2 linked regions of the Sus scrofa genome follow. The protein of the gene in region 1 interacts with the protein of each later gene in a pairwise test. Links are inferred from orthologs where the notes say so. Each region holds a gene or a part of one and is shown on either strand. Other genes may lie near its edges. The genes, in order: SNX15 and RTN4.

Region 1 (12,193 bases):
GGGGAGGGGACTGCTGTTTGCTCCACTGCTTGGCATATCCTGCCAGCAATGACCTTTCACCTTGCTACGAAAGAACATCTCCTGTGAGTCTAGAGACCCAAGGAAGAGATCAGCCCTGTTCACCAGAAATAGAATCTGAAAATTTACAATTTCCTAGTAGCTACATTTCACTTTATTTTTTATTTTTTTCTAGTAGCTACATTTTAAAAAAGTAAAATTAGGTTAATTTTAATTATATATTCTCTTTAACCCAATATGTTCAAAGTTTTTTTTTTTTTTTTTTTTTGGATGCACCCATAGCATATGGAGCTTCCCAGGCTAGGGGTGACACTGGAGCTGTAGCGACCACCCAACGCCACATCCACGGCAATTTGAGATCCAAGCCGCATCTGCAACCTGCACCACAGCTCACAGCAACTTGGGATCCTTAACCCACTGAGCAAGGCCAGGGATCAAACCAGCATCCTCTTGGATGCTAGTGGGATTTGTTTCCATTGCACCACAATGGGAACTCTCTGTCCAAAGTGTTCTCATTTGAACATGAAATCAATATGCAAATTAGCGATAGTTTGCATTCTCTTTTTTGGGGGAGTGGGGCTCACTCTCAGCAAGTGGAAGTTCTCAGGCTAGGGGTCAAATCGGAGCTGCAGCTGCCGGCCTACGCCACAGCTACGGCCACGGCCACGTGGGATCCAAGCCGTGTCTGCAACCTACACCGCAGCTCATGGCAACGCTGGATCTTTTACCCACTGATCGAGGCCAGGGATCGAACCCATGTCCTTGTGAGTAGGAGTCAGGTTCGTTACCACCGAGCCATGATGGGAACTCCTGCCGTCTTCTTTCAGTGTGAATTCGGCCCTTACAGAACATCTCGGTTTAGACGAACCACCTTTCTCGTGCTTCTCAGCCACGTGTGGTTCGTGGCCACTGTGTCTGGACAGCATAGGTCTAGAGGAAACTTTGCCACTTACAGGTCGAGCCCCTTCATCTCTGAGCCCGTATCCTCTCCTTGGACATGGAGCCCGTGAGGACAGAAATGGCAAAGGGTTTGGCACATGATAGGGGCAAGGCTCACAGCAGTTTCTCCATCTGTAAAATGAGGCCACCTCTACAGGCCCATCCAGCTGTCTGAAACATGGCACAACCAGGAGTGTCGGGCCCCCTCTCTCCAGTCCGCACCAGCAGGGGTCTCCTTTGGCCAACGCTCCCTCCTCCCTCCGTCTTTGGCTTGAATGCCTGGGTCGAGGCTCACCAAACACCTGGGCGCGGGGGAAGGCAGGGAACTCCTCTAGGCGGCGGAAGAGGTTGCGGTGGGTGTAGGCCAGGTCCCCATGCAGCTTCCGAAAGTCGCTGTACCGCTTCCAGACCACCACCTAAGAGGGACAGGTGTCCTGACCGGGCGGAGCAAGGGTGGGATTCGGCCTTTCCCACCCCAGCCCTGGGCTCTGTGTGCCTTATGGTGACACACCCAGCGTCAGGGAGGAAGGTGGGCTGCTTGCCTGGCAGAGCGACCCCCTGTTTCTTTACCGTTTCCAGATCTGGAATTGGGAAAAGGTCCCCTCCTCCCAGGAGCCTCACCTCTTTGACATCTTCCGGGTCCCTCTTTGAGATGAACTGAGGAAAAAAGGCAAGAACCAGGTGAGACCAGAGACAGACACCTGACACCCCATCACCTGTAAAAGCACAGGATGCCCTGGCTACCGCCCAGCCCCCTTCAGAGGGGCAGACCCTTTGACCGCAGGTATCAAGGTGTTCTGGCTTTGGAGTTCCCATGGTGGCGCAGTGGTTAACGAATCCGACTAGGAACCATGAGGTTTCGGGATCGATCCCTGGCCTTCCTCAGTGGGTTAAGGATCCGGCGTTGCCGTGAGCTGTGGTGCAGGTTGCAGATGCGGCTCGGATCCTGCGTTGCTGTGGCTCTGGTGTAGGCCGATGGCTACAGCTCCGACTGGACCCCTAGCCTGGGAACCTCCGTATGCCGCAGGAAGCAGCCCTCGAAAAGGCAAAAAGACAAAAAAAAAGGTGTTCTGGCTTTAAGGCTCTGAGCTTTTTTTTGACTTGAATATAATTTTATTTTAATTAGTGTCTCAAATGCACATCGTTTTATTTATTTATTTTATTTTAATTTTTTTGTCTTTTGTCTTTTCAGGGCCGCACTTGCAGCATATGGAGGTTCCCAGGCGAGGGGTCCAATCAGAGCTACAGCTGCCAGCCTCCGCCACAGCCACAGCAACACCAGATCTGAACCACGTCTGCGGCCTACACCCCAGCTCATGGCAACGCTGGATCCTTAACCCACTGAGCGAGGCCAGGGATTGAACCTGCAACCTCATGGTTCCTAATCGGATTCATTTCTGCTGTGCCATAAGGGGATCGCCATCAAATGCACATAGTTTTAAAAATCACATGAAGGGCTCTGAGCTTTAAACTTTGAGCAGTTTTTCCTCCATGCACCTCAGTTTCTTCATCTGTCAAAGGGTTACCAACCTGGCTCCCTGGACTCTGTAATCAATAGAAATTGATGAAGCCAGACGAGGAATTCAGGCAAGGCTGAATGCGGACCCATTTGCACCACCAGGGAGTGAAAACAAGTAACAGACACCCTTACTCGTGTTGCTCTCCCAGGAGGGCTGGCCGGTCCCTTAAATGGGATGAGGGTGGGGGCGGATTAGCAGAGGCGGCTGGAGGGGGGGCTTAGGTAGTCTGTCCACCCCCTTGTGGTGCTGTGTGTCCAGGGATCATGCTCAGGAACCCGCTGATTTTGCTCCTGGCACTTGGTTTGCGGCTTTTGTGTATCTTACTGTTCATGGCTGCCTCGACTGTGCATGCATGCAGTTATCCGTAGCCCCTACAAGCTTCTTTGCGTTCTCTGTCGAGGTGCAAATGCAAGCTCTTTAGTAAAGTTCCAGCCTCTCTCAAAATGGGAAGGTCCTTAAAGGTCTGTCTAGAGCCTCAGCCCTACCTTTTTTTTTTTTTTTGCTTTTTTTAGGGCCGCACCTGCGACACATGGAGATTCCCAGGCTAGGGGTCAAATTGGAGCTACAGCTGCCGGCCTACATCAGAGCCTCAACAACTCGGGATCCGAGCCGCATCTGCGACCTACACCACAGCTCATGGTAACACCAGATCCCCAACCCACTGAGCGAGGCCAGGGATCAAACCCAAAGCCTCATGCACGAGTCGGATTTGTTGCCGCTGCGCCATGAAGGGAGCTCCTCAGCCCAACTTTTATCTCAGTTCCTTCCAAGGGCCAAGTTCCTGCATCTCCTTCTGAAACCAAAGAACCCCAAGTTCTCTAAAGAATGAGTTTCTGTCCCAGGAGCCACCCCTTCCTTAAAGGAGGAAGCCTCGGTGGGCGAACACTCCTGGACACAGAAGAAACTGTCACTGGGGTTGGGACTCCTGAGTAGACTAGTGTCTGAGGTGGAAGATTCCATTTTCATTATATGCTCCTAACAGTTAAAAAATAACATCTTACAGCTCAAAGTAACTTTCACAGTTTTCACAACAACTCCTGTTCAGTATCTTAGATCCCAGGGAGGCAGACGCGATTAACAAGTCCTTTTAAAAGATGAGGAAATAGGAGTTTCCATTGCGGCACAGTGGGCTAAGAACCCGACTGCAGCGGCTCCAGGCAAGGGGCAGCGCAGGGAGTTAAGGATCTGGTGCTGCTGCACCTGCGGCCTAGATCGCAGCTGTGGCTCAATCCCTGACCAGGAAACTTGCACATGTCATGGGTGTGGCCAAAAAAAAAAAAAAATACCCCAAAACAAAACCTGATTAAATGGAAGCTCAGATGAGGGATGTGACCTGTCAGGGGGACTCCTACCCCTGAAACCCTGGCCTTTGCTGTTCACAACAGACTTCCCTAAAATAATATTGGTTAAAAAAAAACTATATTTAAAAACCAATGAGGGAAGTTCCCATTGTGGCTCGGCAGGTAACCAGCCCGACTAGTATCCGTGAGGATTCGGGTTCGATCCCTGCTCAGTGGGTTGGGGATCTGGCGTTGCCATAAGCTGTGGTGTAGGTCGAAGACGAGGCTCGGATCCCATGTTTCTGTTGCTGTGGCTGTGGTGTAGGCCTCCAGCTGCAGCTCTGATTCAACCCTAGCCTGGGAACTTCCATATGTCGTGGGTGAGGCCCTAAAAAGCAAAAAACAGAAAAACAATAAAACTCTGAGGGAGTTCCCTGGTGGCCTAGTGGGTTAAGGATCTAATGTTGTCACCGCTGTGATTCAGGTTTGATCCCTGGCCAGGGAACTTCTGCATGCCATGAGCATGGCCAAAAACCAACCAACCAACCAAACAAAAAACCCATTAAGGAATATATCCCTGACAAATGACTCCTACTCAGAATATAAAGAACTCCTACAAATCAATATTAAAAAGACAAACAACTGAACTTTACAAAATGGATAAAATACCTCAACAGGCACCTCCAACCAAAGAAGATTTTGAATGGCCAAAAAGATTTTGAAAATATACTCAACTTCAAAATTGTCACCAAAGTAATACTCCAGTGAAATATTACACACCCACCAAAAATGGTTAAAATTAAAGATGCTGGAGTTCCCACTGTAGGTCAGTGGGTTAAGAACCCAACTAGTATCCCTGAGGATGTGGGTTCAGTTCCTGGCCTCAATCAGTGGGTTTAAGGATCGAGCATTGCCATGAGCTATGGGCATAGATTGCAGATCTGGTGTTGCTGTGGCTGTGGCATTGCTGTGGCTGTGGTACAGGCTGGCAGCTGCAGCTCTGATTCAACCCCTGGCCAGAAACTTCCATATGCTGCAGATGCAGCTGTAAAAAGATCCCCCTCCCCCCCGCCAAAATGTTGATGATACCAGGTGCTGCTGAGAATGGGAATATAAAATGTTACAACTATTTTGGAAAACTGGCAATTATTGGGAAAGCTACACATATGCTCATCAAATGACCCAGCAATTCCCAGGGACTATCTTTTTTTCAATTCTTATTTATTTACTTATTATTGACGTAGTTGATTTACAATGCAAACACGTACATACATTTTCTTTTTCAGATTCTTTTCCATTATAGTTTATCACAAGATTATACAGTTCCTTGTGCTATATAGTAAGACCTTGTTGATTATCTATTTTATATATAATAGTTTGTATCTGCTAATCCCAAATTCCTAATTTATTACCCACCCTCCCCCTTTGGTAACCATAAATTTGTTTACTCTGAGTCCATTTTTGTTTTGTAAATAAGTTCACTTGCATCATTTTTTAGATTCCACATATAAGTGGTATCATATAACATTTGTCTTGGACTTTTTATTTGCATTTTTTAGGCATGAGAAAGACATAAAAGATTTGGGGAAAGCTCTTTTTTTTTTTTTTTTTTTTTTTTTCTTTTTGTCTTTTGTTGTTGTTGCTATTTCTTGGGCCGCTCCCGCGGCATATGGAGGTTCCCAGGCTAGGGGTTGAATCGGAGCTGTAGCCACCGGCCTACGCCAGAGCCACAGCAACGCGGGATCCGAGCCGCGTCTGCGACCTACACCACAGCTCACGGCAACTCCGGATCCTTAACCCACTGAGCAAGGGCAGGGACCGAACCCGCAACTTCATGGTTCCTAGTCGGATTCGTTAACCACTGCGCCACGATGGGAACTCCGGGAAAGCTCATTTTAAACATCTAGGATAGGATTCTGCATTTAAACCACTTTGAGGAACATTTAGGATAGAATTCTGCATTTAAACCACTTTCATGGCTCAGTGGTTAATGAATCCGACTAGGAACCCTGAGGTTGCAGGTTCGATGTGGCTGTGGTGTAGGTCGGCAGCTCCATCTCCAATTCGACCCCTAGCCTGGGAACCTCCATATGCCTCAGGAGCGGCCCTAGAAAAGGCAAAAAGACAAAACAACAACAAAAAACCCACTTTGAAAGTCTTTACGTTTTTGCTTCACTTTAATAGTTACTAATGCATCAGTTTAACCAGCCTACTGCAAAATTGTGAAAGTATATTAAAAAAATTTACAGTGAAAAATCTTTCCCAATTAGGTTTTGTATATGGCTCTACAGATATCGTTATATTGTTGCTATTTTAAATTTTCATGATTTCTTCCATGTCTCTCTATAATATATTTATAACGTTGGCACTGCTTCGTATGTCAACTTTAGTCTGTATATACTGACTTCTCGTTATGACTGTGAAGAGGAGACTTACTCCTTAATTTCTTTTGAACTGTATGAGCTTTTAGTCCTACACAAGCATTATTTTTTGAAAAATTAAAAGTAATTCAACTCCTTAGAGGGCTTTTATGTAAATATCAAACAAACCAATAGACAGAACTTACTCCAAGAGATTGGAGAACTAACCAATATTTGGGTTGAGCCAGAGTTTTCATATTAACTTAAAGAAATTAAGTTTGATTGCCAGACGCCGAGCGTAGGGAGTGGGCACCCACACCTCACCGGCTGGGTACTGCTGTCACGCCCTTTTAAGAGGGCAGCGCCCTTCTATGGCCCCACTCCTAGACGGCTAAAGAAGTAAACGAAGGCTCTTACCGCCACCGTCTCTTAAAGGGGAAATTCATTTCCAGCGTCTAAAATGGGAGCTTGCAGCAGCGTCTCGCCTTAAGGTAAAACACGGCCCCCTCTTGTTAAAAGGGTAAAAGTCCCCGCTGGGCCCCATCTCACCTGCGCGGTGACTTTGTACTCGGTGTAGCCCTTGGGGTGGGTCCGGGGGTCGGAGACTGTGTAGTGCCGCAGGAAGTCGTCCTTCGCCTGGCGGGACATGGCAAACGAGCTGGAGCGGAGCTGCCCGCCGCCCTCCGCCTCCTCCGCGCCGCCCCCGCCCCTCCAGGTCAGTCTCCACGAGCCAACGCCTCTCCTGGGCTTGCGCCCTTCATCCTTTTGCCCAGGGACCTGGTCGCAAGTGACAGTGCAGTTCTCGGCCGGGGCGCTCGGCCAAGGGAGCGTCTAAAAAGTTCTCGGTTGTTGGTGAAGCATGAACGAGACAATTTGAGAGTAAGCATTAGGATGGGTGGATAACTAGGTTTTGCCTAGACATGAGCCTACCCCATGTGAGCTGTAAACCCTCATCGCAGTCTCTCTAAATGACTTATTTCATCCATCCACCTGACTTTTACTGTATTCAATATATGCCAGACAGTGTCAAATTATTTCTCCCTCCCTAGGATTCACGAAATTCATGTTTTCTGGAAGGAGGGGGGGGGTGTTGAAACGATGGTGTCATGGGCTCTTACTGTCTGCATGAGTTTCCCTTAGCCCATGAGTTTCCCTTAGCCCATGAGTTTCCCTTGAGCCTCAGTTTCTCATCTCTAGAATGGGGAGGTTTATAATAGAATCTACTGCAGCAGATGTTTCTTTATCCTTTGGTGGCCTGTCCGGCATTCACCGCTGCCTCCTGCTGTTAGCATCTTAGCACCAGATCTTTGTTTGGAGGTGGTTCACTGGTGTGTGCAGCCCGTGGGCCTGGTAGCCCAGAATCCAAAGGTGGAGGCTGCTTTCCTTATCCCAGGTCCCAGGGCAGGGTGGTGGGCTCTCTCCTGAAGCCTTAAATCTTGAGTGAGGGACAGAATGCATGGCAAGGGGATTGAATTGTTCCCTGAGTACAGTGTTGGCTGTAGGTTTGGCTGTCCAGCCTTTTGGAGCACTCTGTTTTACAAGCCTAGATATCTGACTTCCATCAAGATGCTATGAGTTCCCAGTGTCCTTCCTCGAAAGGTTCTTTCTTTCTTCTTTTCTTTTTTTTTTTGCTTTTTTTTTTTTTTTTTGCTTTTTAGGGCCACACCCACAACATATGGAGGTTCCCAGGCTAGGGGTTGAATTGGAGCTATAGCTGCAGGCCTACATCACAGCCACAGCCACAGCAATGCCAGATGTGAGCTGTGTCTGCAACCTACACCACAGCTCACGGCAACGCTGGATCCTTAACCCACTGAGCGAGGCCAGGGATTGAACCCACAACCTCATGGCTCCTAGTCAGATTTGTTTCCGCCGCACCATGACGGGAACTCCCGGAGAAAATTTCTTTCTGTGGAAAGCAGTCGTAATTTGTATCTGGCAAACCATGCAAGACCCTGCCTGATGCTACCACCCCCAGGCTGTGAAGCTTAAATGAGGGAGCATGGGTACAGCGCTCATGGCCACTCTCTTTACTGGAACTCAGATGAGTGGGTGCTGTAACTCCAGAAAGAAACACAATGCAAACTCCCAAGTCAGACTCTTAAGATCATGGAAACAAGTTAGTTCTTTCTTTCTTCTTTTCTTTTTTTCCTTTTTTTTTTTTTTTTTTTTGCTTTTTAGGGCCACACCCACAACATATGGAGGTTCCCAGGCTAGGGGTCCAATCAGAGCTACATCTGCCTGCCTACGCCACAGCCACAGCAACACTGCATCCAAGCCGCCTCTGCGACCTACACCACTGCTCACAGCAACGCCAGATCCTTAACCCACTGAGCGAGACCAGGGATCAAACCTGCATCCTCATGGATGCTAGTCAGGTTCATTAAGCACTGAGCCACGACAGGGACTCCAGGGCAGGTGGTTCTATAGTTCCGCACTGGAAAGCTTATGTTCTAAGTTTGTCCGCTCAACACCTCCCTTCTTCCACCCTAACAGAGCCCAAATTTTGCATAGGCCCCTCCCCTTCAGGAAAGGGTCCTGGTTTAAGAGTAAATTGGTCATTCTTCCTCTTTTCCCTTGAGAAAACTGCCCTTCCCTCATAGACACATTAGGCTCCTTGCACCTGGCATTGAGTTTCGAGAAAAGAAACAAAAACTAAAACCAGCAGGGTTTAGTGGCTAAGCGTGCTGGGTCCAAATCCTGGGCCCTTGCTTCCTAGCTGAATAGGGTTTTTTTGTTTTTGTCTTTTTAGGGCCTACCTGTGGCATACAGAAGTTCCCAGGCTAGGGGTCCGATCAGAGCTGTAGCCCCTGGCCTACACCACAGCCACAGCCACGGCAGATCTGAGTTGCGTCTGTGACCTACATACACCACAGTTCACGGCAATGCATGGATCCTTAACCCAGTGAGGCCAGGGATGGAACCTGTGTCTCGTGGATGCTTGTCGGGTTCATTACCATTGAGCCACAGTGGGAACGCCCTAGGTGGATAGTTTTGGGTAAGTCACGTCTCCTCCCGGAGGCTCAGTTGCTTTATGAATGGGGACACTGAGAATCTGTCCTGTTTGGGGCTGTTCTTCAGTGTGATGGCAAGTGACAAATCTTCAGAGGGAACCCTGCAGAGAAAGCACCACTGGCAGGACCACAGCAGGGGGCCCTGTGAAAACTTCCATCTGCTCTGCCACCTGGATGGGGGTCCTGGGGTCCCCCTGGTTCCCATGCTCTCCCAGTCTGGTTCCTGCTTCAGAAATGCCCTTGAGCCTTGAGGGAAGGCCCCTTCGCAGCTCTGCTCTTCGTTAGCTTGCTCTACTTGATGCCTGCTCCTCCTTCCTGCATCGGAGTCCGTCCCCCCCGCTCCCCGCCTCCCTGCTCCCCCCTCACCCCGTCTCCCAGCAGCCCTGTCCTGCACTTTTCTAACTCTCTGCAGTCCCTTTCATACAGCGAGTTCACCTCGGACTGCAATTACCTTTTCTGTCCTCTGCTGGCCAATGAACTCCAGGCGGTCTCTAGGGTTGTTGAATCAACAAATGACTCAGCCAGGAATGGGGGCGAGGAACACTTTATTCTCACAGCTGAGCAAAAGACGAGGCCCACAGCCTTGACAGCAGCAGACGCAGCCCCCTCCCAGCCCCAGCCCTCTCTTCTTGGTATAGTTGCTGCTGCCGCAGGCCAAGTTAGGAGCCAGGGTGACAGCCAGGGCGGGAGCCGGCTGGCCCCGGAGCAGCAGTGGGCAGCAGTAGCAGCAGCAGGTTATGGAGTGGGGCAGGGGTGTTAGTGGGGCTGGCTGACTCCCATGCCCGCGTGGATGGTGCCTGGCGAGGGCCTGGTGGGGGCGCCTGGACCGTGAGGTGAGGGGGCATCTGGAGTGGCTCAGTCGGCCATGAAGATGCGGCTGGAGATGTCATCCAGGAGCCAGTCGATGCCAGGCAACAGGTTCTCCCCGGTGACGGCACTGCAGCCCTGGATGCACCAGTGGTGGCTGCGGATGGAGTCCAGCTCCAGGGCCTAGAAGGGAGGAAGGTGACAGAGGGCCCCGGTGTCCACAGGGCCCGACCCCCCTCAGCCCCTTTCCCCTCCTGGCCCAGGGGAAATCCACACCTCCCTCCAGGGCCTGCTGTGGGAGGCTTCCCCTGGCCCCTGGTGAAGATGTGTCACACACACCCCCGCACCCCGCTTCCGCTCCACCGTCCAGAGCACCTGAGCTCTCTGTACACGACAGCCAGACCAGCACGGCAACAAGGGCTCCCGATGTGGTGCTCTGGGCCCTACAGTATCCTCTCACCCATTCCCCCCCAAGGCCCCATGAGCCAGGGATTGTACTGGCCATTTTACTGAGGAGGAAACTTCAGAGAGGTTAAGCAACCTCCTAAAGTCACACAGCTAGTAAGTGGCAGAACCCAGTTTCTAACCCCACTCTTTCTCGTTCTAGCCTTCCAGTCTACAATCAGACTTAAGATGCACTCTGACAATGGGAGGTCCCAAGAAGGAACACGTGCTGCCAAATACTAACCAGGAGAATTTGGGAGGGGCCGAGAGAAGGAAGGAGGTGACCAACCTCCCAGGATCCTTGGCGCTGGAATCCATCTTGGCTGAGGGATGCATGTGCCACCAGAAAAGGACCCCAGCTCAGACCAAATTATGGGCCAAACAAGATGACTGGCCAGAGACAACCCAGACACTAACCTCATTACCATAAAACCTGAGGCTTTGAGCCACATGGCAGCAAATCCGATTCCCTTACCCTACTGTTCTCTGCCCAGGGAGCCTCTTCCCAATAAAGCTTTTTGCTTTGTCAAAAAAAAAAAAAAAAAAAAAGAGTTCCCATCCTGGTTCAGTGGCAACGAATCTGACTAGCATCCATGAGGATGCAGGTTCAATCTCTGGCCTCGCTCAGTGGGTTAAGGATCTGGTGTCACTATGAGCTGTGGTGTAGGTCGAAGGCTCGGCTCAGATCCTGAGTAGCTGTGGCTGTGGTGTAGACCAGCGGCTACAGCTCTGATTCGACCCCTAGCCTGGGAAAACTCCATATGCCACGGGTGCGGCCCTAAAAAGACAAAATATAAAAATAAAAAACAAATAGGAGTTCCCGTTGTGGCTCAGTGGTTAACAAATCTGACTAGGAGCCATGAGGTTGCGGGTTCGATCCCTGCCCTTGCTCAGTGGGTTAAGGATCTGGCGTTGCCGTGAGCTGTGGTGTAGGTTGCAGAGGTGGCTTGGATCGTGCGTTGCTGTGGTTGTGGCATAGGCCGGCGGCTACAGCTCCGATTAGACCCCTAGCCTGGGAACCTCCATATGCCGCAGAAGCAAAAAAAAAAAAAAAAGACAAAAATAAAAAACAAATAAAAGTGACTCAAAGACATTTAAAAAAAGTAAAGAGAGAGAGTTAAGATACAATCTGGAGTCACACCGGCCTGTGTTTAAATCCTGGCTTGTCTGCTTACCCTGTGACCCTGGGCCAGTTACCTTTCTAAGCCTGCCTCACTGTGTGTAGAATGATGTAATAGTTCCTACCTTGTGAGGTTGCTGTGCGAACTAAATGAGTTAATCCGTGCACAGCCTAGCACGTGGAAGCTACTGTTCCCTTGTGGAATAATCTATTTTCAGGTCTGCCTGCCCCTGGGCTGTGGGCTCAACTCTCTTACTAATCACTGACTCCCCAATACCCTGAGTAGGTCCTGCCACACGGCACGGCTAATACATGCTTATTCATTTATTTACTTATTTACTTATTGGCTGCACCTGTGGCATGTGGAAGTTCTCAGGACAGGGATCGAACCCACCCTCGCCATACCCATAACCAGAGTCACATCAGTGACAACGCTTGATCCTCAACCTGCTGAGCTGCCGGGGAACTCCCAACAAATGCTTCTTAAATTAACAAGGAAATGCATGCCCCTTCCTTCCTCCAAGGCCTGCACTCACCTCGCGAATCGCCTTAGAGGACAGTGCTCCGGGCAGGTCCTGCTTGTTGGCAAAGATGAGGAGGGTGGCACCAGCCAGGCGCTGGGGAAAGAGAAATAGAGGGGTGTGTGTGTGGGGGGGCTTCAGAGGGCAGCCTGGCCCCTCCACTGTTCACC
Region 2 (12,288 bases), on another chromosome or scaffold:
TGCTACAAAGTATCTCAACCAAGTATCTGGCAAACAAGCATCTCTCTTGACCATCTCCCTTATCCTGTAACTAGAGTTTTTGAAAGATACACAATTTCAGGTCCTTGTCTTTTTTATCACTAAATCTTCCCTGTTTTACTTCTGACAACTTTACAGTGCATTGGCCATTTCAACCACCAAACACCTAAGGAAGAAACATTTTACAAAAAAACTAGCATGAATTCTATATTTCCCTTTTATATACTAATTTAGTAACCCCCTATTCTGAGCAAGGAACTGTGCAAGTACTTTGTATACATTATCACTAATCACAATTCTATAAAGTATTTATCATTAGCATCTTATACATAAGGCAAGTGAGGGTTTGAAGTATTATTAAATAAACTTTGCAGGGTTATAGACTGAAATTCATGTCTGACCATGAAGGTCTCATTCCTTCCATTATACCACATTTTGTATTTATCAGTACTCAAGTTTGTTTGTTTGTTTTGTTTTTTTTTGGGGGGGGGGGCTCTTTTTACGACCATACCTGCAGCAGATATGAAAGTTCCCAGGCTAGAGGCTGAATTGGAAGTGCAGCTGCAGGCCTACACCACAGCCACAGCAATGCCAGATCCAAGCCACATCTGTGACCTGCACCACAGCTCAGAGCAATATCAGGTCCTTAACCCACTGAGCAGGGCCAGAGTTCGAACCCGCATCCTCATGGATACAAGTTGGGTTCCTTAGCACTGAGCCACAACAACTCCTAAAACTTATTTTCATAATTGTTGGTTTTATGTTTCAAGATAAAGCCTTAACTCTGTTATTTGCTATGAAATCTGAGCTCTCTTTAAGTGGTTGTTTCTGCTAAAAAAAAGTCTCAGTATATCGCAGCAAGGTAAAAACTACCTATGGTGGTTGTTGCTTTCCAAAGGAAATCCAAACTTCTTGGAGATAGAGAATAAAGAGGTTCCAAAACTATCACACCAATTTACATATAGTTCATATGGTTTTCACTACTTCCTTTAATTACACATTCCATTTCCACCTTTACTAGAAGATGACGAAAAATACAGCAGACGATAATTCTAACTTTCTACTTACAACTTCACCTCTTGTTGGCATCCATACAATAGGCACCAAACCTTAGAAATACAAAATTGCTATTTTCTACTATGAATAAAAAATACATGGAAAACATATTGTTCTGTAACTCTTATTAATAACCTGGAATGAGGGGAAAAGTCAGAGCAAATTATTAGTTCAAAAAAAGGGAATGAACTTCAGTGAACTATTTATATACTTCTATAACCTTATGCACCTGTGGCACACACTCCATATAAACACTCAATGAATAAATGACTAATAGTAAAGTATTCACTTCACTGAGCAGAATAATCTCTTAATTTTTAGATTACTTAGGTGGAAAAAAAATACACAAATGGGTGTATATAACAACTATACATTTACAACAGCTATCCTTACAGAAAATCTTATGGAAAATCAGAATTTTTGCAAATCTGTAATCTGAGAATAATAATTCCTAAATCTCTCTCCATTCCCAGCTTTATTAACAATAAACTTGGGGAGTATCATTAGTATTTAATAATTTCTTAATCTTTAAGTTGCTTTGAGCTCCTTAAGAAAACACTACATAGAATAAATATAAGATAGGGGTGATATAGCACTGAAGAGAGACAAGAGTATTTTAGCATCTATCAATACCTTACACAAATCTGTAAAAGATGACTGGATTTAAAAATTTGAAAGCAGTAAAGCAGATTTAAATAGATATATTTATACATTACATACTGACAAACACACACCCATAACATAAGGAAACACTACCCATGATAAAACAGAAACAGAATTTGGTCTCAGAATATTGCTCCAAAGACGCAAAGAGAAGAACTAGCTAAATTATAAGCATCCTTGAGCCTAAATTCTAGCAAGAAATGGAAACATGTTAATAAAAAAGGAACGGAACCTAGAGGATACCTGGAGACAAAAGAAGATTTCTATTCACTGCTTCAATATTTTTCCTACATTCGAAAGCATGTAATCCAATCCCTAAAGTCACAGAGAAATTCTTTCTTGGCCCACAGAGCCCTCACTAGGCTTGTTATAAAAACCATGTGACTATACTGAACTTTAACCAAACTCACCTTCTTTCATAGCTAGTGTGAGAGACTACTTACTGCCTCTTTCAGTGCAGAGTGAGAAACATACAAAAAGATGTCACGGTTCGACTACAAATGAATAAAACATCAAAACATGGATTATTTCAGCTTTTATAATTTTCAGTCTTCAACTGGTCAAGTATAAACATAAATTGTAGAATAAAGACAAAGTCCCTATGCCACTAGAATAATTTAATCTCTAGTTTTCTTGGTTTCCTTACCTGTAAAACAAAAATAAATATTAAGATGTCTTATATGAAGGTATAACCTAAAAATCTGGATTTACAAAAGTAGCTTAAATTACTTAATTGCTCCTTTAAGAAGGGGTAAGGCAGGGAATCCCTTTTATTTACCCCGTTTGAAAAAACAATCTTTAAAAATTTCCAAGAATGGATGTATATAAAGCTAAGGAGAAAACCTGGCTGAACATCAAAGTTCCTATTCTCTTACTTTGTTGAAAAGCTGTGCAGAGTCAATGAGAAGACACAGTGATGAAGCCACCACTGTTTCTGCCTTCAATATGTACATATTATATATAATATATAATAAATATAAAGTAATATAAGCCACAAAATAAAAGCAAGAGATGGACGTTCTGAGGAACACTGGATTATGTCCACCTGGGAGGATTAGTGAATACTTCAGGAAAGACTGGGCCTTTGATGACTTGACTAAAATGAAATGGGAAGAAGGAATTTAGACAGAAAAACACAAGCAAATGCAAAGAACAGGCATGTTGAGCGAAAAAGTCCTTCAATGTGGCTGAAGACAAAGTAATGATAGGATTATCAAGGCTAGAACTAGACCACAGAATGCCTTCTCAAAGTCCAGGATAGATACTAGGAACTTAATTTGAAAAGTAAAGAAAAAGCCCTTAAGTGGTATACTTAGAGCCATACTTTAATAAGATTAATTTGGCTTGACACATAAGATTTAGCAAAAAAACAGAAGTTCCTTAGGAATATCCTTAGGAATATCCAGATGTGGGTAAATGAAGAAAAGAGAGGATGTTTCCATTGCTCCCATTACTATCCATCAAGACTTTAAACCATATATAGGACAAAACAATTGCAAATTTACTCTTTCAAATTAAATGTGGTTCTCATCAAATAATTTACTTAAAATTGACAAAATAGCTATCTCACAAAGAGTTAAAACCATCAGAAATGCGTATGTTGTATATAATCTTGGCCAAGGTCTCAGGACAGATTTTCCTAATACATTGCTCAAAATAATTTGTATCTTTCTGGAGGGAAGTTTTGCAACATGAACCAACAACCTAAATACTATAATTCTGCAATTTGGAAATAATCATGAATAAAAACAATAATTTACATTCAATTATATTCATTTTAGCATTGTTCATACTTGCAAAAACTTTAGGAATAGCTTGAATACTTAACTACATGGGATTAGCAGTATGTATTTAGACTATTATACCCATTAAAACAATGTAGAGTATTTTTTAAGTGAAAGTACTTCCCCATTTAGTGGGAAAAAAAAGATTACAGAACAAAATGTACCACATGTACCCCCTTGCAACACATGCACACACCATTAGAAATGTACACCAAAACCACTCTGTGAAATGAGTTTTATTCTTCCATAGACCTTCACAATTTTCTACCACACACACACACAGACACGCATACACAAAGTTTTGAGCTACTAAACCAAAATCTAGAAGAAATACCTAATGAACGACTAAACATTGGATTTCAACTAAGTTTAGAACTGAAACACAGGATCTTCCTCCAATCAATGGGTCTTGCAATTGATTAATGCCCCAGGTCCCTTCTCTGGAATTTTTTGGGGTGTTTTTTTTTTTTTTTTTTTTTTTTTGGTTTTTTGGTTTGTTTGGTTGGTTGGGTTTTGGGAGGCATTCACAGGGATTAAGTAAGGCAATTACTTCAAGCAGCAAGACCTCTGCTTCTCTCTTCCTGAATGGTAGTGTGAGTATGCACCTGTACCCATGTAACCTTAAGCTTTGAAAGAAACTACAAGTGACTTAGCAAAGGTAGAGGTCAAGGAGCCCTACAAGAACTTCTTCATGAAGTATGCTCCAGAAGTGGTACAAAGCCAGTCTGCCTCACCGTATACTCAAACTGAATTTAAATGCTAGAAACATTTCTGTCCCCAACCTACAGACTTTTCTCAAAGGTCAACTACAGCATGTTAACTGCCAAATCCCAAAAGCATTAATAATAATGGGCAGTGCTAGAGGTCCCTGGTGGCCTAGCAATTAAGGATTCAGCATTGTCACTGATATGGCTTGAATTCAAACCCTAGTCTGGGAACTTCTGCATTCTGTGAGTGTGGCCAAAAAATAAATATTTATTTATTTTATTTTATCATTAAATTAAAATCTCCTTTTTAAAAATGTGGGCAGTGTTGCACATATTCTTAAACTTCAACAGGGTCCACAATCATTTCTCAGTCTTCATATTTAACTACTTCTCTGTAGTATTTGACCACTCTTCCCTTTTTGAAAATAGGGAACCAGCACTATCCTTCTTTCCCTGCTCTGACTATAACTTCCTGTTCCTGCATGTCCCTACAATGTAGGTTTTAGGCTTTCTGTCCTTAAATTCCATTCTCTATGAAATATCCTTGCAGTATTCATGTCTCACCTTGCATTCAATTCCCCATTTTTCATTCATCATTAAACCTGCCGTTTCTATGAGCTTCAGAGACATTCTATCACTTCAAATTTGAAGGTTCCAAAACAGAACTTGGCATTATTACTACCTACCTTAGCTCTATTTCGACTAATAATAAAGTACTAGCATTGCCAAGGTTTCACTCTGACTGAAATTTCATGTTGTCCTTTGAGTCCCTCCCTCACCCTAGCCCCACAAATCTATGTCAAATGTCAAGTACTCCTCTCTTAAATTCTCAAATCTGTCATTTCCTTTTCAGGCCAAGTTCAGGCACTATTTGCTTTTAAACCTGGGCACAAATACGGCCATCCTATTCTCCTTCTAAGTGCCTCTGCAATTTATCTTACACAACACCCTAAAACAGTCTTTTAAATCTCCTATCATTTTATCACTCCGTACTTTAATGGAAGAGCCTATTTCCAAAGGCTCTTTATTTCCTTTATAATAAAATCCAAAACCCAATGACTTCTGCAATCTGGTTCAGGGTATCTTTTTAAAAACCAGAAAACATCAAAACGGGAGCTTCAGAAATCACGCAAAAGAGGAAACTGAAGACCAAAAAGGGTAAGTCTCTTACTCAGACCAAAATCAAATTAAACTAGAAAAAAGAAACTTAAACACTTAAATTTGCCTGATTATAACATGAATTACAACAGGGTGCTGAATACAGTGCCACATTCTTCCCCTGTAAATTCTGATTTGGTAGATCTGAAGAGGATCACAGCAATCCATATTTTTAAAAAGCACTAGGTGAGTCTCATCTTCAAAGAAGTTTGATGAAACCTAACCTAGATCTTGCAAATCTTCTATACTCTTAGATCATATCAACTTATCTTTCAACTACTATCCTATAAAGATTCTTTTCTACCCAAAAAGCTGTATTCACTGTCTCAAAAATACCTTGTTTAGTGGTTACATCATTCTCCCCCGACCCAAATGCCTAAACCTATCATTCCTTTCTATTTTAAGTGCTTCAAAAATCTTTTGACCTGTCTTAATCAATGCTTCCCATATAACCCAAAAAATCAAGTATGACATAGATTTAATTTGTTTTTAATATCCTGCTAACAACAACAGGAAATTCAAGAAGAAAAATATGTAAAAGAATATCAATTATTAATGTTGGTCTTAGCCTGAAAGATAAATGCTTTAAATACTAGCCATTCGGCCAAAAACAACCCAATGTTTAAAAAACACTGAAATCAGAGTATCTCTCACTTCTTTTATACCTTCATATGCTACCATCATCAGATGACTGAATGTGTTTCTACCATGGCACTTAGAGGGTAGAGGGGTGGTAAAGAAAGCAGCAGGGAAAAAAAAAATGGCCTTAAGTTTTTTTGTTTTGTTTTTTAATATACCTAGAGAGCTTAGATTAGATACTTTCCTCTATTGTTACACTTTTCATAAAACGAGAAAAAACTCATTCCATGGCAGCTTCAGCTTCTCACTGATTTCCATTTATGCTGTAATCTATAATCTACAACATTAAAATTAGCTGCTGATAAAGAGAATACTAAAATAAACCTTAACCAATGAATCAGAAAGAGTCTTTCCAAGCAAAAAAAGCCAAAGACAAGCATTAAAAAAAAAAAAAAAAAAATCAAGCCACTTCACTTACAAAGTGAGCCTCCCCAGAGATATTTAAGAGTAAATTTGATTTTATATTTAGTATCTAAAAATAATCAAAATAAATCTTTGGTATAATATGCACTATACTGGATCTTAATTTCTCCAGTCTCAAAATATCCTTAAATTAGTTGAGTACATAAAGAATTTAAGATGTTATTAAATGGACTAAGGTTCAAATTACAAATACAGAGCCTAAAAAGTTGCAGAATAGGCCCAGATGTGACTTTTCGCCTATTTTTTAAAGCCTATATTCCCTGTATTGTTAGCACTACTATCATTTTTACTAATCAAAAACTAGTGTAGCAATTCACCTTTCACTTTGTAATGCTAATGGTCAGAAAGATGAAGAAATAAAAATCCTTCTCTTCATTAAATTCACACATAAAAAACCATAGAGATAAAAATCCAAAGACGTATTATTTTCTGTTCTTTAAATTGTAACTATAAAAGCTTTCCAATGTCTCAATATGAACAAGATTAAGCTCATGTTTTCCCCACAATACTTTATTGAACAAATTTTTAAAAGAATACTGTAAAGGTTACTGTAATTAGCTCCACAGATTGCTTTTAGAAACATTATCACCAACCCTGCTAAAATTCTGCTATAGAAATAAATAATGTTTTAAATTATAAAACTTGAACATGGCCAAAAAAAAAAAAACTGCTTGTGTGGAATGTCTAGTTGGACTACTTAAAAATAGCTCTAATAATTTTTAAGACAATTTATTGTAACGCCAGGTATACAGTCTACTACCTTCCCTTTTTCTTAAAATGGCACATTTAACCACTGACATAATAAAATATTTTTTAAATATTCATTACACTTATGCGCTTAAATTCTTACACAATCCCGATCCACTGAGACTTGAAAGGATCTGGGCTTTCAAGGGGGAGGAAAAGGGATCAAGATCACTGATTGGTTATTACAAGGACAAGGGTTAGTGACTTAAATATAGACACACATTTAAAACTACCATGTATACATTTTAACCATTTTAAGATATACAAAATTATAATCTAATTAAAAGGCCACTGGTAGTAACTTCAAAGATTTAATAATAAGATTTCCAAAGAAGAAAACGAGCTTATTGTAAATGCAAGATCTTGCTACCTACAGACCTTTGGATAGAATTTCAACCATTCCGAGAGTCAGCTTTTTAAAAAAATAGTCACAGAAAATATGTCATTATGAAATACAAAGATGGAAATGTAGATTCATCACACCAAAGTGACCAACAAATGAAATATGTTAAAACTAAACAGTTTACAATGTGCAATATTAAAGAATAGAACCTAATCAAAGATCGGAATGCAGAGACTAAATCAAATGCCAGTGAAACAGAACAGCATGACATTTTCTCATACATAACCAAATGCAAAAACATTTGAAATAGCTCTTTTAACTCTTTACTCTTAAACCTTCCACAGGCTTCATTTGCAATCCAAAATATATCTAAATGGCAAAGCTTATTCATAGAAATATTTTGTTGGTTACATAAAAAAAACTGAATAAAGGTTAAAAAGCAGATATACCCTTGTCCTTCCAATTTTTCTTCTGACCGTCCATCTCTTGTCACGATCTGCCCTCCAGATGCAATTATCAATTATGCATACCAACAGAAAAGCTGTAACTGCAAAAATCTACCCCCTGAGACATGAAATATGTTTCCTCAACCGAAGTCTGCAGTCTCCTCTGCTGCACAACTGCAGTCACCTGACGCCTTCTGGGTGTGGAGCAGTCTGACGCAGTGCAATCTGTAACTAGGCTACTAATACTCAGGCACTACCGCCTTCTATCTGTTTATTGTTCTAGTCTTTTGCTTGTTGCTCAGACCAAACAAAGCTACTTTTGCAGGGGGAGGGGCAAGCTACCAAAAGAAAGAAAAGGGGGTTGTTCTGGCAGAGTTAAGCATTGTATATACTTGAAATACACTTCAAGCCATGTGCAGTTTTTTTTTTGTTTTTTTTTTTTGACAGGGGAATTTACTGATGGTTTTCAGCTTCATTTAAAACTTTAAAATCAATAGTTACCTGATAAGATAAAAATGGACTGATCCAAAGAAGGGTAATAACTTAAATTTCAAGTCTGGTAAATGCTGAGTCTCTTACTTGCTTCTAAATAATCAGCATTTTGCACCCTTATAAGGAAGGGCATGACAGGAGAATCATGAAGTCAAATTATTAATATTTATTGAATATATGTTAAATTTCAATAGAAAAAAATTATATTCAATTTTAGCAGTTGAATACATATTTCTAACGTAATATTATTTTTTTCTTCTGTTACAACTATGGAAATCCAGAGACTTGCAAATATATACTTATTCTTATCACCTGCTCCAACTCAATCTTTCAATAAATATCTATTAGACACCACTGCAGGTACTATTAATAGACTTGGCTTGAGGAGAAATATTCATGTGCTAATTATATCATTTGCTTTGGGAAAAGGATATAATAACAAGCTAAAATTTTACTGATAAATACAAAGACAAATCCATAAAGAATTCCTGAAATTTTTGTTCAAATTTATGAAACTGGCATTCATTCCAGTGCAAAATATTAAGTCTTTACTAATGTTTCACAACTGGTTTAACTGATGGTTTACTGGTTTAATCATTAATCATTAAGCAGAAACATATAATGACAAATCAGCGAAAATATCTTCAAATGTGCGATATATTGAAGTATCATAAGATATGCAGCCTAAGGACGAAAGTACATACTTCGTAAGACTATACAGGTACACTTGAAATAGGTATAGTATTTTTTGGAACTTCCCATAAAACTGTGTAGGCTGCAAAACTCTGCAAAATCCTTCATATCAGAAGCAGCCTGAATATCAAGGGACTCAGTTCTTTGCCTCTATGCCTAAATGCAAACATAAATAAAGCGGAGCAATTTTTAAAGAGCGTCTAGTATTCTCAGTTCAAAAGTTAATATTTAACTTTATTCACTGAACCCCTGCAAAATGTGGTATTTGAGAACACTGTCACCAACTCATATCATGGCTGAGAATGTCTGGCCTCTCCATGCAACAGTTAGAAATCCCAAACTAGGCAGTAAATACATAATATTTCCAAAACAGTATTTCCTAATAATGAATCCCTTAAGGCTGAAGGCCAATAAATACTTTAGCATTAGAATAACACACTCAAAAACAGCACCCAAACACTGTTTTCAAATCAGAGATTACTACACTAATAAAAGGGGGGTGGGAGGAGATTTCTTGAAGCAAAGGTATTACCATTCATGTTATTCACATTTTCTGGTACTGGACTAGGTTCAATAATTTTTAAAAATCATCTGAGCGAATAAGAATGTGTAAATTCATTTACCTAAACACTAAATATACTTAATAGCTCCCCTGGCAGATTAAAAAGTCAAACTAGGAGCCCTGAAATTTAATCTTATATATAGCAATATCTAATTTTTTTAATTTTTATCATCTTGGGAATTCAGGCTATTATATTAAGTTACAGGGAAAATTAGCTAAGATAAATCAATTGACATTTTGCCCATTTCTTTCCTAGAAAGTTTTAAAACTAAAGTTGTTTTAAGCTTGGTAATCTAAGAGAAATGTGGTTAAATTTGAAAATCTTGATGAGACAAATGTGCTAAAAAGGTAAAGTCATCGGGCTAGGCTTATTGTACTAGGAGGAGCAAATAAATGACTTAGTGTATGCAAAAGACCTTAGGACAGTGCCCTACAAAAAGTGACCCTGTGCGCTAGCTGTTTACTAGTAAACTACAAGGAGACAAAGTCTGTAAAACACATATAAGAAAGTGCATATATTATGCCATTCAGTCTAGGCAATAACACAATAACCTCTCTGAACAGAAGAACCCCTCTACACACACACAAACTATGGTGCCAGGCTATCTGGTTCCATTCTCCCCCAGCTGAGAAAAATTTATCTTTGGATAGTTTATAGGTCCTATTTCATATCAAATCTCAATAGGCAAACAATGAACACAAATCTGTTTTTTAAAAAACCCTCCATTTATTTTGTTTTCCTTCAAGTATTTAACATTTTGTTTAATGAATGAAAAATTATTCCAAGGATTATTTCCAAACAGAGCAGATACATACCTAGTTGATTATTTTGGATAAGGAACCTATTTTCCTCCCTTAAAAGTAAAGGCTTCCAAAGGGGGGGACCACAGAAGATCCCTTCATTTACAATGCGAGCAAATAAAAGTGCTATTTGAATTCTAAGTCCTACTGTGTATTATGTATAGGGGGTAGGAGGAGGGTTATCCTTCTTCTCCTGAACTCAAAATCAGCCTAACAGAGAACTTCTGAAATAAAATTTCAGAGTTCATGATTGGCAACTTCCCATTCCTTCATGTCCACATAACCCAGTACCTCCCCTAGCATGTCAAAACCCAACACCCCAAACCTCCTCAAGCATATCCCTAATTCCTTTCCAAAAGGCTATCAGGCTCTAAAACTACATACACTTTATGTTTCTCTTCTCTCATATCTCAAATCAAAACTCTCATTTTCTTAGTGCACCTTATCTCATTAGCGGGAAAATTATATGATTAAGTCTTTCAAAGGAATAAATTCCTTTCTCTATAATGCTCTCATAAATACTGGGGAGGGGTGCAGAGGCTTATATCTCAGTGGCAGGATCTCAGACAGTGGAAGACTGTTTTTGGAATAGACAGCAATATGAAAGCTGTAAGACCGCCCAGCTCAACTCTCCCAAGATATCCCTCCTTTATCATTTCATTCCTTCCTCTAATTCTGAACCCCAGAGAAACTCAGGTTTTTGTCTTGCTTTGTTTGCTTTTCAATGTTAAGAGATCAAGGGAAATAAGTGAGAGAGAAGTGGTCATTCGGACTGAAAGTGCTACTCTCTAAATTGGGGGTTGCTTGTATACAACTATTGATAGCTAATACTTCTCCTTTCTGGCAATAGATAATAGAATTTTAAATATATATATATATATATGCACACACACATAAATATTACATATATATACACTATTTTTAAACTTATTTTAAAATTTATATTATTCAGAGCTATACAAAAGCATGAAACTAAACATATATCTCATTACCAAAAGATATTAATGCTGTTTAACACCATACGCTGTAATATAATGCCCTCTATGGACTAAATTATAGCACTTCAACATTAACTACTGAATTGAACCTTAAGACATGAATTAAGACTTTAGTCTAGAAAATGAGTAAGTTAAAATAAAAATAATGAGCATTTTATGGTCTATAAAAAATTTCATATAAGCTGCTGAAAATGAACACTAAAAACCATACAGAAACTGAAAGTGATCCTATTCAATGAGAACTAAGTAAATGACTTCTTGTATTATTATTTAAAATAAATATACAGATATTCCAAAAGATCCAAAGCACTTTTAAACTTGGAGTTAAAAAAAACTTAATAGTCATTAGGTTCTGAACAGATCTGTTAAAACTTTTTAAGTTTTCATTAAAGTTCCTATTTGGGGGAATGTCTGAGGTCCTTTCATGTTTACAGCAGCATGATTCCATTTGTTTGACTTAATACAATGTGTCAAGATTCAAAATACTTTTATAAAGGCATTTTCAAAGTTATTTCTTAGTTTGAAGCAAACATCCACAGCTCATTAAATTTCTTTGCCCAACTGAATTTCCACACAGTCAATTATAGAGGATGCCATAGACCTTGTTTCTATGTACAACACTAGATGGCACCAACACCATATATAGTTGGTGTTGTATAGTTGGCTGTCCAACCCAAAGCATGCAATCTGGCAAAAACTATTCTCAATTTTCTGGCTTTTTTAGGATTGTTGCCTGTTACTAGGGTACTAGATCAGAG

What was found.
Region 2: the proteins of SNX15 (region 1) and RTN4 interact in binary tests that used the Homo sapiens proteins (3 or more experiments, as listed by UniProt). The two-hybrid records come from large-scale screens. The link is inferred for Sus scrofa from reciprocal best matches to the Homo sapiens genes SNX15 and RTN4.

The regions. Positions count from the first base shown.
Region 1 is NC_010444.4:7,148,304-7,160,496, forward strand, and holds the start of SNX15 (sorting nexin-15), read right to left. Parts: upstream 6,901-12,193; 5' UTR 6,766-6,900; coding exon 6,667-6,765; intron 6,609-6,666; exon of another isoform or gene 5,818-6,608; intron 1,615-5,817; coding exon 1,579-1,614; intron 1,374-1,578; coding exon 1,253-1,373; intron 1-1,252. Other genes in the region: ARL2 (ADP-ribosylation factor-like protein 2), read right to left, coding at 9,987-10,121, 12,039-12,119. UniProt on the Homo sapiens protein: May be involved in several stages of intracellular trafficking. Overexpression of SNX15 disrupts the normal trafficking of proteins from the plasma membrane to recycling endosomes or the TGN.
Region 2 is NC_010445.4:86,211,738-86,224,025, reverse strand, and holds the start of RTN4 (reticulon-4), read right to left. Parts: upstream 8,192-12,288; 5' UTR 8,022-8,191; coding exon 7,988-8,021; intron 1-7,987. UniProt on the Homo sapiens protein: Required to induce the formation and stabilization of endoplasmic reticulum (ER) tubules. They regulate membrane morphogenesis in the ER by promoting tubular ER production.